3 linked regions of the Saccharomyces cerevisiae S288C genome follow. The gene in region 2 interacts genetically with the main gene of each other region. Each region holds a gene or a part of one and is shown on either strand. Other genes may lie near its edges.

The links.
Region 1: of CST26 (region 2) and BUD9, changing one suppresses a phenotype caused by changing the other (phenotypic suppression), as found in Saccharomyces cerevisiae (one study listed by BioGRID).
Region 3: of CST26 (region 2) and SCT1, extra expression of one rescues a mutant of the other (dosage rescue), as found in Saccharomyces cerevisiae (one study listed by BioGRID).

What each region holds. Positions count from the first base shown.
Region 1 is NC_001139.9:575,628-579,765, reverse strand, and holds BUD9 (Bud9p), read right to left. Parts: upstream 2,280-4,138; coding exon 636-2,279; downstream 1-635. Other genes in the region: MTE1 (Mte1p), read right to left, coding at 1-290; mitogen-activated serine/threonine-protein kinase KSS1, read right to left, coding at 3,262-4,138.
Region 2 is NC_001134.8:319,786-323,222, forward strand, and holds CST26 (putative acyltransferase), read right to left. Parts: upstream 1,825-3,437; coding exon 631-1,824; downstream 1-630. Other genes in the region: long-chain fatty acid transporter FAT1, read left to right, coding at 1-490; QDR3 (Qdr3p), read right to left, coding at 2,091-3,437. UniProt on the Saccharomyces cerevisiae protein: Acyltransferase with lysophosphatidic acid acyltransferase (LPAAT) activity. Fatty acyl substrates include 18:0-acyl-CoA, 16:0-acyl-CoA, 17:0-acyl-CoA and 14:0-acyl-CoA.
Region 3 is NC_001134.8:201,884-206,470, reverse strand, and holds SCT1 (bifunctional glycerol-3-phosphate/glycerone-phosphate O-acyltransferase SCT1), read right to left. Parts: upstream 2,934-4,587; coding exon 654-2,933; downstream 1-653. Other genes in the region: LAA2 (Laa2p), read left to right, coding at 1-364; FMT1 (methionyl-tRNA formyltransferase), read right to left, coding at 3,210-4,415. UniProt on the Saccharomyces cerevisiae protein: Dual substrate-specific glycerol-3-phosphate/dihydroxyacetone phosphate sn-1 acyltransferase, catalyzing the first and committed reaction in the de novo synthesis of glycerophospholipids and triacylglycerols (TAGs).

The sequences.
Region 1 (4,138 bases), on a different chromosome or scaffold from region 2:
GCCACTTGAATATCTCTATCGTACTCCTCAATAATATTTGAAATAATCACCAAAAACTGACTAAAAATCCTATGTTCTTCAATATCAAAACCTTCTGGATTTAGAATTGCTTTCAGCTCTTTTGAATTTATTTTAAATTCACTAGCTAACAAAACGTTATCCTTTTCCGTATAAAGCATGAATCTGTTGTTTAACTGAAAGTATTTCAGTCTACCATCGTGCCAGATTTTACGTTTCTTGTAAAGCTGATCAGTGTATTGGCATTCATACTCAACGATATGAGAGAGCATACTCTGTCATGCGATCCTTGGGGATTTCTTCTTTCTGGTGTTCGTGAAATGGGCTAGCTTTGGCGTGCAGTTCAAATTGAGATTTCACATCGCGAGAAGCTCTCAAACCGACTTTTTTCCCTAAATAGAGACCAATTATAAGAGCAAATAACATGCATATAAGATTGAGGTAAAGAGATATTATCGCTATTCCAACGAATATGAGCTCTTGGTGTTGAGATTTTTCCCTTGGTAGTTTCAGGAGGCTACCATATATTATTACATTGTTTTCTGAAATCTATAACATGGGTGTCTAATTATATAGAGAGTAGCAGGAAATCTTCGACGAGTAAGTCCAGCATGGAGTTACTCTCTTATTATTCCCACACCAAATCCTATTCCTATGCTAGCAAAGATAGCTAACATCTCTATACATCCTAATACAAAGCACAATGTCCTGAACCATTGTACGTCAATGTCCCATTCAAACCCTTTGAGGAGGCCGATTCTATGTTCATAATTCATTATCATTCTCATTAATCTATAATTTGAAACGCCATTATTTCCATTGATTGAAAAGAAAAAGAATAAGGGCGGAACAAAAAGGCAGATGCACAGTGTAGTTATAACCCTTGGAATACTATAAATCTCGGAGAAGCCATATATTCGGGAATCAAATGAACGTATGGAGGAGGAATCTATTCTTTGAATGGGCATTGTTTCCATTTGAAAACTTAATTGCTGATCTCGATCAATTTCTTGAGGAATTTTTTTATATTGATGTTGCTTAATACTATTGTCACCTTTTCCGACCCCAGAAGCTAAACCAGCTTCTATATTACTTTCGTATTCCTTTTCGTGTAGTTGGTTTGGACTACGCATGGTGTCCATTGCGATACCAAGAGGGACTTGAGGATTAGGAATTTTCTCTAAATCAATTTCGTTGGTATTCTTCTGCCTTTGATCTTGCATTCGAGTTCCAGAGGTTTCATTAGTTGGATTATACTGCCCATTAGAATGCACTGTATTTTTTAAAACAGCGGAAGAACTTCGCTGGTCATTAGCAAGGTCAGCTGCTTCAAAAGGCTTTAATATGTCAATTAATAGGGAATGGTTTCTTGGGGTTTTGAGGCTAGTGGACTTATTCGCTGGTATTCTGTTCCAGGCCTTTTTAGGAATTTGAAATTCATGTGGGATAAACGCTTTATCGGGAAAAGTACCATTTAGCGTGCTGTTAGGAACTCTGCTTTTTGCTACATCAACAGCCCCTTCCACAGGAGAAACAAGATCTACACCATACCGCATAGAAGGAAATGAGTATGTACCTTGTGTTTGCCTTGTAGACTTATTTCCGGAGACGGTAGCCCTTGGTCCCTGGTACGGCGCAGTTCCTTCGGGTGGTGGATAGAATAAAGAAGAAGGTCTGGTTCCCAGTTTCTCGAAGGATTTCATTGAAGATGATTCCATATGATCTCCTCTGGTCGTCCCAGCGTGCTTTTCTGCCGAACCCATATTCAACAGCACCGAAGTAGAGATGGTACCGCTGCTGCTGTGTCCATTTAGGTTAGTTTCAGCGGAAGACCCGTTTGAGGAATTTCTGTTCCTCTCATTTGAATTTGGCGGAGGTAAAGGGAATGCTGCTACTTCTGGATCTCGTCGTACTAAATCTAAAATTGAATCCTCTAGATCTCTATGTGATTCCTGATGGAAATTGTCATCTCTAGCATCTTCAAAGACTTGTTTACCATCAGTACTACTTGAATTTGTATCTCCTTTGAGGATTTCACTATACTTGCTATCATCAATATAAACATTGTATGACTTCACTTCTGATGATGGAAATGAATCAGATCCTTCGATGAACAGCGAACCAGATCTTATTCTTGCTCGCGGTTGATGGAATATTGGGTGGTCGTTCTCAGGTAAAGATGCGGATGAAGCCGTTGCCGATCCAGATGTGGATTTTGAATTTTCTGTCGTTATCGAAACATCTCTGGTTATTTTCGTCATTTCATAGGATGAAGAATGAAATTGTTGTAAAAAAAAAGGTAGTGAACGTATAAAGTTGGATGCTGTCTTCGAAAAAAAAAATAAGGTGTTAAATGAGTGGATGGTTTGGTATGCCTAAGCAAAAAGCTTTAGAAATCAAATTGAAAAATAAAATCGAGGGGAAGCTGGAGATAAAAGTAAGGCAAATGTCAGATAAATAGTTGCAAGGTGAGAGTGTACTATAATCTTTAGTAGTTGTTGTATGGTGATCCTTCGTCACCGTTAAGAAATGGAGGACAATTAAATGGAATACTCTGGGACGTTACAAGGAATAATAGTATGCTAGAATGAAAAAAATAATGGAGTCCTTCTACGTGTCAATGTACGTATGTGGCAATTAAGATAAAACTTTATAACTATACCTTAACTATTCTTGCATATATAATAATGCGAGATAAAAAATCACCAACTTTCTCCCTTTTAGAGAAATTAGCTTTTAGACTACCTTGGCTGGGTATTAGTTGTGAATATTTGGTAAATATGGTCAACTAGAAAACGAATGCGAACATCTAGCCAGGAATAAACAAACCCAGTAAACAAAACTTCTACTTAATACTTAAGAATAGAAAGCACAATGCCAAGACTTACTTGGGAGCCCATTCACTGTTGAATAGTGCTGGATAAAAGGTGTTGATATCGCCTCTTTGATTACAGTCGCGTCAGCTCTCCAAGCACACGCGATGGCTGGTTTTTCTCTGCATTTCCCGTTTAGGCAAAGCAGTGAAGAGGCTCATGAAGCCGCATTTCGTGTACTTCTGCTGGCGAAAAAAAAAAACTTGTTGCCGTGGCGCCATTTCGTTCCTTGCATTTTTCCATTGGCATGCATCGTGCATATGTGAGTTGAAGTTTCTTACTTACATATTGACCTACAGACCACAACGTGTCACTGCTAAGCTGAATATAGGGAAATTTTAGAAGTATGGCAGAAATGTTCTTGTGAATACTATTCCATGGTCTTCATTAGTTCATCGTAAAGCATGTCTTTGAGCATTTCTATGGGCACTTCTTCCTCCTCTTCCGGACGCATTATCTTGTTATCCAGTTTCCAAAATTCATCATCCAAATTAAGTGGAGGATATTCCGGCTCATCACTTGGGTCATGGTACATTGCCAGGTAAGGGTGTCTTAAAGCTTCTGCTGCGCTTATTCTTTTGTCAGGATTGAATTGAAGCATTTTGTCTAGTAAATCTATCATATCTGGATTCAGATCGGTCTTTGACCAGACGGTCTCCCATGGCAAGGGTGGCCTCATAGGTAAGTTTGCTATATACTCTTTAGCCCTCTTGGATTTGATCTGATTAAAGTCTTCGAAAGATGGAGTTCCCAAGACTTCTAGAATTAGCCATAATTGATGATGATAGTCTCTGCCTGGGAACAAAGGCTTCCCGGAGACCATTTCAGCCAAAATGCATCCGCATGACCATATATCCATCGCAGTTGTGTACTCTTGAAAAGTTAGCATTATCTCGGGTGCCCTGTACCATCGCGTTGCGACGTACTCCGTCATGAATCCTACCAATGTTTCTCTTGAATCGCTACTGCTAGCTAAACACCTCGCTAGTCCAAAATCGCAGACTTTGAGATCACAATTGGAATTTAGTAACAGGTTTGATGGCTTTATGTCTCTATGGATAACTTGTGCACTGTGAATAGACTTTAAGGCTCTGAGGATTTGGTATGTAAAGTATTGAACATGGTCATCACTTAAAGTGGAAAACCCGCTATTCTGATTATTAATTACTTTTTGTAAATCGGTTTCCATCAACTCTTCGACTAAATAAACAGCGTTTAGTTTGTCTATGGATACTGGCCTTACTTTA
Region 2 (3,437 bases):
AGATTTATTAAAAGCGGACGAATATGGATTATGGTATTTCCTTGATAGAATGGGTGATACTTTCAGATGGAAATCTGAAAATGTTTCCACTACTGAAGTAGAAGATCAGTTGACGGCCAGTAACAAAGAACAATATGCACAAGTTCTAGTTGTTGGTATTAAAGTACCTAAATATGAAGGTAGAGCTGGTTTTGCAGTTATTAAACTAACTGACAACTCTCTTGACATCACTGCAAAGACCAAATTATTAAATGATTCCTTGAGCCGGTTAAATCTACCGTCTTATGCTATGCCCCTATTTGTTAAATTTGTTGATGAAATTAAAATGACAGATAATCATAAAATTTTGAAGAAGGTTTATAGAGAGCAAAAATTACCAAAGGGTTTGGATGGAAATGACACTATTTTTTGGCTCAAGAATTACAAGCGCTATGAAGTCTTGACCGCTGCTGATTGGGAAGCCATCGATGCACAAACAATTAAATTATGATTTGATGTTCCTGAATTAGGATAAAGTATTTTTCCTTGCACGAGAGTACGTATGTAAACGTAATATTGATAAAGAATCAAAAAAAGTTTTATATCTATCTATATATGTACCTAATAACATATGGAAAGGATTATTTAAATTCAAAAAATAAAACAATAAAGTTTATAAACTAACCAAATTATTGTTAGAGTTGGTAATATTAGCACTTCAGTTAACTCAATACGATTGATCTTGAAACTATCGGTAACTGAATGGTTTGTTTCAGGATCACTTACGAATGATCCAGTGGAATAGTACCTTTCCATTAGAGCATCCTTCTCACTCCAAATTTTATACAGCCATTCTGAAAATTCATTCTCGTCCTCTAATGGAATATCTTTAACATCAAATGCTCTGATGTGAATATCGACTAACTTCGGGTATTTTCCTTCTAAAAATATGCTCTTCAGCCCATATATAAGCTCACCATATTCCTCCTGTTTTACACCGGAGTAGCCGATCGTAATATCATAAAGACTTTCAATACTTGGCTTCAACTTTTGTAACGAGTATCTTAGGCCTGTAGAATGAGGCAGTAGCACATTCTTGAATGGCTTTTTGCCTATTTTGGCAGCATATTTAGCACTTTTTTGCCTAGTATCAGCACTGAGATTTGTACCTTCAGGGAATAGGATAAGATTGTATGGCCAATGGATTTGTTTTGGATCAATAACCTCCGGATTCCATATGCTCTCTCCTTCCTCAGTTATGCGCTCAGGTGACTTTCCAGCAAGTGAGCCGGCGCCCCTTGCATTCGAATCAAGGCCAGCAAGGCTGTTGCTTAGGGTTATTTTGTCTTGTGCCCACTTTCTACTCATAAAAATGAAATTATAGTTTCTCATACCGAAACCGAGGATAGGAATGGAAGCCAACGATTTTTTTAAAATAATGAAGACATTAGCCCCTAAGTTCGATGTGTAAGCCAACCACCATAAAAATATCCAATCCGTGTATATTTGGTGATTGCAAATGGCCACCGAATTGGACTTTAGATGAGAAAGAATCCTTTTCTTCTTCAAGTCTAAAAAAAAAGTACCTTTAGGAACACTGGAATTTTCAGTGGTAATTCTCACTGCAGATGGTGCGACAACATGCAAAATGGATGATACCAAGACAATAAATAATCTTTTGGTTTTATTGAGACCAATTTGTTTCCTTATATCATTTCTACAGTAAAGAGTCTTATAGGTGAGTTGGAGAAACAAAAGAATAAGGCATCCCTGGAAGAAAATCAATAAGGAAATACCTGGGACGACGACTTTTCGAACTTTATGAGCTATTTTTTGATGCAGCATCAGCTTATTGACCTCGCTAGCAATCTCAATACCAGTGGACCTGATATATCCTTTTTTTTTGTTGGCTAGTGTTCATTAATGATCTTTCGCGTTTATATTTCTTTTTCTGATGAGTTTTTCGCCTCTTGAGATGTTGTTGAACATTATTTAATAATACTTTTAGCACAATAACGATTTACCATAAACTAAAGTAAACTATGTATGTGCCACCCTATGAAAAGTCTACAATGAAAATATTTACGCTTCCGTCTTATTAACCGATATGATTAATCAATTTTGTCGTACAATTTTTGTAAATCGTAGTTCTCTCTCCAGTAATCACCGTGCTTTTTCAGTATTATAAGTACACTGCTAGCACCCAAGACGATAAAGGCCAGCATTGTGAAAGCCCACCCAGTTCCCATACCGTTTAACATGGGTGTGGTGACAAAGACTGCGGTTGCAGCCAAGATTTGCCTTATTAAATTATTCAAAGCAACACCGGTGGCACCCTTTCCCGGCAATGAATCGACTAAATAGGAAAGGGTAGCACCAATTGTCATCATAGCTGCATATCCAAAGAGGGCTGTTCCAATTAGTGGCGTTACCCAGTGGCATTTTTTATCTAGGCACCAGCCAAATATCAATAGCGCAATGGGGAAAGATATTACAGATGTAACAACATTCCACGATATACGAGCTTCAGGAGCAAGAATTCCATATTTCTCTTTGTATCTTTTTAAAAGCATGTCCACCCAACGTCCACCGTAAATTGAGGCGAAAAAGTATGTTACAGAATTCGGAATATACAGTAGACCAATGTATAATGGTTTAAAGTTGTAAGGAGGCCTTGAATATTTATATTCAACTGTCATATTAACAAAGTATACTGTGGAAAAGGAAATTGCGGAAAATGTTATTGCAAGTGCCACGGGTGGATATTCTAGGAAGTGCAATGATTTTAAAGGCTTGATAAAATAAACAAAAAAGGTGTCCCAGACCTTCCTCACCGCTGATACCTGTTTAGGAGCGATTTCACCTCCATTACTGGATAGCACTTTTTTGACTTGCTCTTCCAGGTTGGTTTGTAATTTTCTCAGACTATTTTCTCGAATCGATCTCGCTAACTTTGGATCTGTTGATCTTATTCTCGTAACTTGTGCTGTTGTTGCATCGATACCGCTATCATCTAGCTGATATTCATACAGACTTCTACTCGCCTCTGTATAAATCCGTTGCAATTGGGTTTCTCCAGCTCGACCATCATAAGTATTGGGGCTAGAGTGACTTTCTAAATCTAGCGAGTCTTGATCCCTTACCTCTCCAACGTAGTTATGCTTCTCAGTAGATAATGTGGCAACTTGGTTTTCAATTCGATCTGTCTCATCTTCTCCCCTCTGATAATCTTCTTGTATCTCTCCACGTTCGTTATTGTCTACTTGAATACGTCTTTCAGCCAAAATTTGAGCGATAGCGCCTTTAGAATCTTGTTTTCTTAATGTTTCAGGTAGTAACACCGTCAAAAGAATGACATTACATCCGGATAAAATAACCATAAACCATTGAGTGGATCTCCAGGGCCAGCGATTCACTAACAAAGATCCAAAAATTGGAGATAGTAGCGGCGCCAGTAG
Region 3 (4,587 bases), 120 kb from region 2:
TCTCTTCCTGAGGGATAATTTCAAAATTGACTATACACCACCAATGACTTTAAAATCTCTTCAAAAGGAAGAGGAGCGTGAGCAAGAGCAGCATATACCGCAATTGCTTATGGCAGATTTTACTAGTATGGATGAAGAATCTTTACGCCAATACCACGATACATTGTGTCAATCCATTGACTTTTTGGTTAGTAAATCAAGATCATTGAAGAAACAACAGCGAGACCTCCTAAAGGATAAGACAACTTTTGAAAATGTAGTGACGAATTTGACAGGACATACCCAAAGACTACAGCGAGACGAAATTGCATTGTATAACAAAAAGCGAAACAAAAAGAAAAGGTTCAGTTGGGTAGGATACTAATCGCCGTCTCGGCAAAGCAGGTTGAACGTTGAAGTTTGAAGAGAATAAAATGTTATTAGTAGCATAGGGGACCAGACCAAAAGTCGTAAAAGAGCAATATACTTTTTTATAAAACATACAATTATACAATTAGTCCCCCCCTCAAGAAATAAAAAGCCCCTGTGCGAGGGATATACATAAACATTGAGCATTAATATTTACAACTCCCAATGAGCAATAATGGGTTTATTACATAAATAGAACGGCGAAAGATTTAGTTTCTAGTATCTTCACCGTCAGTAAATGGCATCTACGCATCTCCTTCTTTCCCTTCTTCTTCTTCTTCCTCTTCTTCTTCTTCCTCTTCTTCTTCCTCTTCCTCTTCCCTGGCAGTATTTTCACCAATTCTCTTGTTTAAGACGGCCTGTGCGATTTTACTTGCTAATCCATTTTTTTCCTCCAAGATTTCGTTTTCTACCTCAAATTCGGAGGAAGAAGAAGGTGCAACGGATGTCGAAGCTAAGGAAGACTCTGACTTACGATGAAAAGTAGAAGAGAATAATGGAATGTTAGAGAGGGAATTGTCACTATTGACCAATGAGACGCCATCGGAATCTTGGTTATGGTGTTCATAGGCATCGTGGTTGTCACGTTGGCTGATGATAGGTGATGACGAATCTTTTTCTTGTCTTTTTATTTTCTGTTTTCTTAGCATTTTCCTGCGATTCAATTCTGAGGTTTTTCGATCTTCTTCCTCTTCATCGATGACGTCGAATTCTTCACGTAGGGCGGCACTATCGAAATCGGGGAATAATTCGCTTCCAAAGTTATTTACAACTTCGATTATTCTTTCTGCCAGATTTCTACGATCCTTTTGTAGCTTTTGCAAGCCCTTTGGAGATGTAAGAGATAAAACCAGTGGTCTCAAAGATTTGAAACCATCCATACCAATATCACCCACGATTAAGGCGGAATACGTGACTATAACACACGAGATGTAAGACCCGGAAAAAACATATATTTTATTCCATGGTTTATGTCTGAGGTAATAAGTGATTAAAACGGACCAAAAGATGTAAAGCAAGGGCGCAAATCCCATCCCAATCAAGATTTTCCACGTGGCAATGACATCGTTAGCCTTTATTTTAACTGTAGACTTGGACAAAGCGGTACGGGCCTTTTCTTGAGAAATTCTCTTGGCTAATATGAAGACAGGTGAGAACATAATGATACCTGGCATGGCTAACGAAAAGAGGATGCAGAGCCCGATGGATCTAAAAAAAACAAGTCCGAGGTTTTTTGCGAAATTTACCTTTGCCTCCTCCACAAGGTGATCAGGAAGATTATAGTGTCTCAAGGCGGCATTATATGCCATTATATCTTTGGTCAAGTCCGCTATTTTAGGATCGTTTCTATAGAATTCGTAACCTTTGACCATTCTTCTGTTCATTTCCACAATCAAGGGCAACGGTAACTTGGTGCTAAATTGTGTCATATATAGTCTTCTTATCGTTTGAACCACCATCAAAGTTTCATAATCAGAACATGTAACGGTAACGGATTGTAAACCCTTCGATATGGTATCTAATAATTCTTTCACTGCATCTCTGTTCGTTTCCGGGTTGTGGTACTTGGCGACTAGTTCCTTCGGTATTTCAATGGGGTCACCGAATTCAACAACCGCTCTCGACCTGAACTTATGTGGATGGAAATAATTCATACCGCAGGGAACAATCTTAACATTGACGTCAGGATGCTTATCCATGCAACCAAGAGCCATAATCGCCACACCTGCTTTCAGGGGCAACAAGTTTGTTCTGTCGTGGGACCCACCTTCAGGAAAGATCCCAATGCAGTTGTTATGGGCCAAATGCTCAAAAACTCTATGGTAAACGCAAGATTGGTCGACTTTAGCGGCATATTTATAAGTAGTGCCGGTGAGTAAAGCAGTTTTAATCTCTGGTTTGGCCATTTTGAACTCTTTTCTTAGGGTCAAACTCGTGTCACTTTCTATGGACTGGATTTCTCCAAATCCCATTGATTTGGGTAACCCGATGAGACCCTTTGGCATACAATCAGTCAAGAAATGCGTGTCGTGGCCGATAACTCTCTTGTAGTCTGTTGGATCTACGCGGATAGTACCTTCTGCCGGTTTCAAATTATCCTGCGGCCTTACCACGCCTATGGCCATGAAGAAACTAGCCAAAAACCCTATGGGGGGTTGCTTTAATGAGCTCTCCGCAATCAAGAAGGACACACGTCTGTTGACAGATTTCTTCACCTCGCCCATAAGGATTACAGGGTCGACGAACTGGTTAGCATGCGGAGCCGCAACAAAGATCACCGGTCCCTGTTGCGGTACCTTGAAACTGCCCCGGCCTCTGATTTCTCTAAAGAAGCAGTGGAAGATGTTGTACAACAGCCATGTGGCGATGGAGTAAAGTATCTTCTTGGTAGCGCTAGGCTCTTGGTAGATGTATGCCTGATCAGCCGACGTCTTGACGCTTTTGGCCTCGATGGAACTGTAATTCGTAGTTTTCTGTGTGCTCTTGGAAGAGGCAAATTTCTCCGTGAGTTTTGGTGCAGGCATTTTTTTTTACCCCGATGTAAACGCCCCTGTGCTCTTTTTACTATATATTTAATTCCGGGCTTCCTACACTTAATTCACTCTGTTATGAACTACAAGCCATTACTAACATCAATCTTTCCGAATCATAAATAAACTGCAACTGGGAAAGAAGGCGGGCCTACTTTTCTTTTTCTTCATAGCGCGTAGGGCTTGGCAGCCATAGTTGTTGAGAGACCGATGGATGAGGGATTGAAAGAAGGGAGAAGAAGAATACTAAAAGAGGAATGTAGAGCCGGGTTACAGGAAAACTAACTTTTCACTCAGGGCGCCGCATCTTTTCCGCAGGCGCGCCATGAACTGGCCAGCACGTTCTACGGCGAAACCTTCGAACTGGAGGCGGCTCACACATAGTAGTAAGTTGCCGCGACAGGTGACCAAAATACAGTCTTTAATATCATCATATTTGAACATGCCCGGTTTACTGCCATTATCTAGACGTGCGTCTCTCATCACTTTACACTCATGAAACAATATTCGTTTTAATACTGAATTTTGAGCGTCCTTTCTTGCCGCTGTCGCTTCTTTGAACGCGTGCAGAGGACCGAGCGTTTCGAGTTTGTTAAGTAGTTCGGCGGCAGAATCGCGCGCCCAATGAATGCGTTTATCTTCTGTTGTTATACGGTGGGCGTAACTGGGTTTGTAAGCTGTTGGCGCTTGCACACGGTTCTGTGGTAGATATAACCTCTCACGAAGCGTTTGGCCCAAAAGTTGGGCGCCAAGGGCGCCCAACTGGTCCATCAGTATGGCAGTCCTCCGAGGCAGGCCCTCAGAATTAAAATCTGCCGTCGAATCATTGACTCTCCCTTTTGACAGCATTGTTGCGATCGCCAGTGGCTCCGTCTGCGCTACAATTGCACCATGGTCAAACCGATCCGGATGCAGTGTCTGTATAGTTACACCGGTGTAAGTGTCACCCTCGAGCAGAGCTCGCTGGATAGGTGCACTGCCTTTATGTCTGGGAAGTAGCGAAGGATGGACGTTTAGCGCCAATGGCACCGCGCGGATCAAGTCACCCGGAATGAGCTTCCCAAAAGAAACCGCAATGATCGCGTTGAACGGAGCACCGGAGCCGTCGTTCTCCGGATTTCCTTGGCGACTGGGTGTCAGTTTGCTTAGCGCCAACATTTCCTGCTTGGTGTCGCATGTAATTGGGCGTGGCAATTGAAGCTTCTCTGCCATATCGAAGATCGGCGGGTATTTCAAAATAGACTTCTGTCTACCGCACCACTTCGGCGACCTAGTTACTACTTGAATATTGTCCACTATACCACAGCTTCCATTATTTTGACGCAACTCATTGAGTGCTTGCAATGAGAAATTACTGAAAGTGTCGCTACCAAAGAAAAGCACATTCAAGGGCTGCACTGGTGGAGAAGCATTGTTTGAAATATATCTGCATGTGAATAGGAGGCGTGTAGGTGTTATTCTTCTCATTTTAACCATTTGTTTGATACGCCGTTTTCAATCTTCTCACTATGAGGTGCCTAGGTCCCCTTCCTTTTTTTTCTTACCTCTCTTTTTACGTTAATGAGAAAAGCGCTTACTCCTCTCCATAATAGCAGGTACAGCTTTTTTTGCTTTTTTCTTAATGGACGCTTCTTCCATTTGATATAAA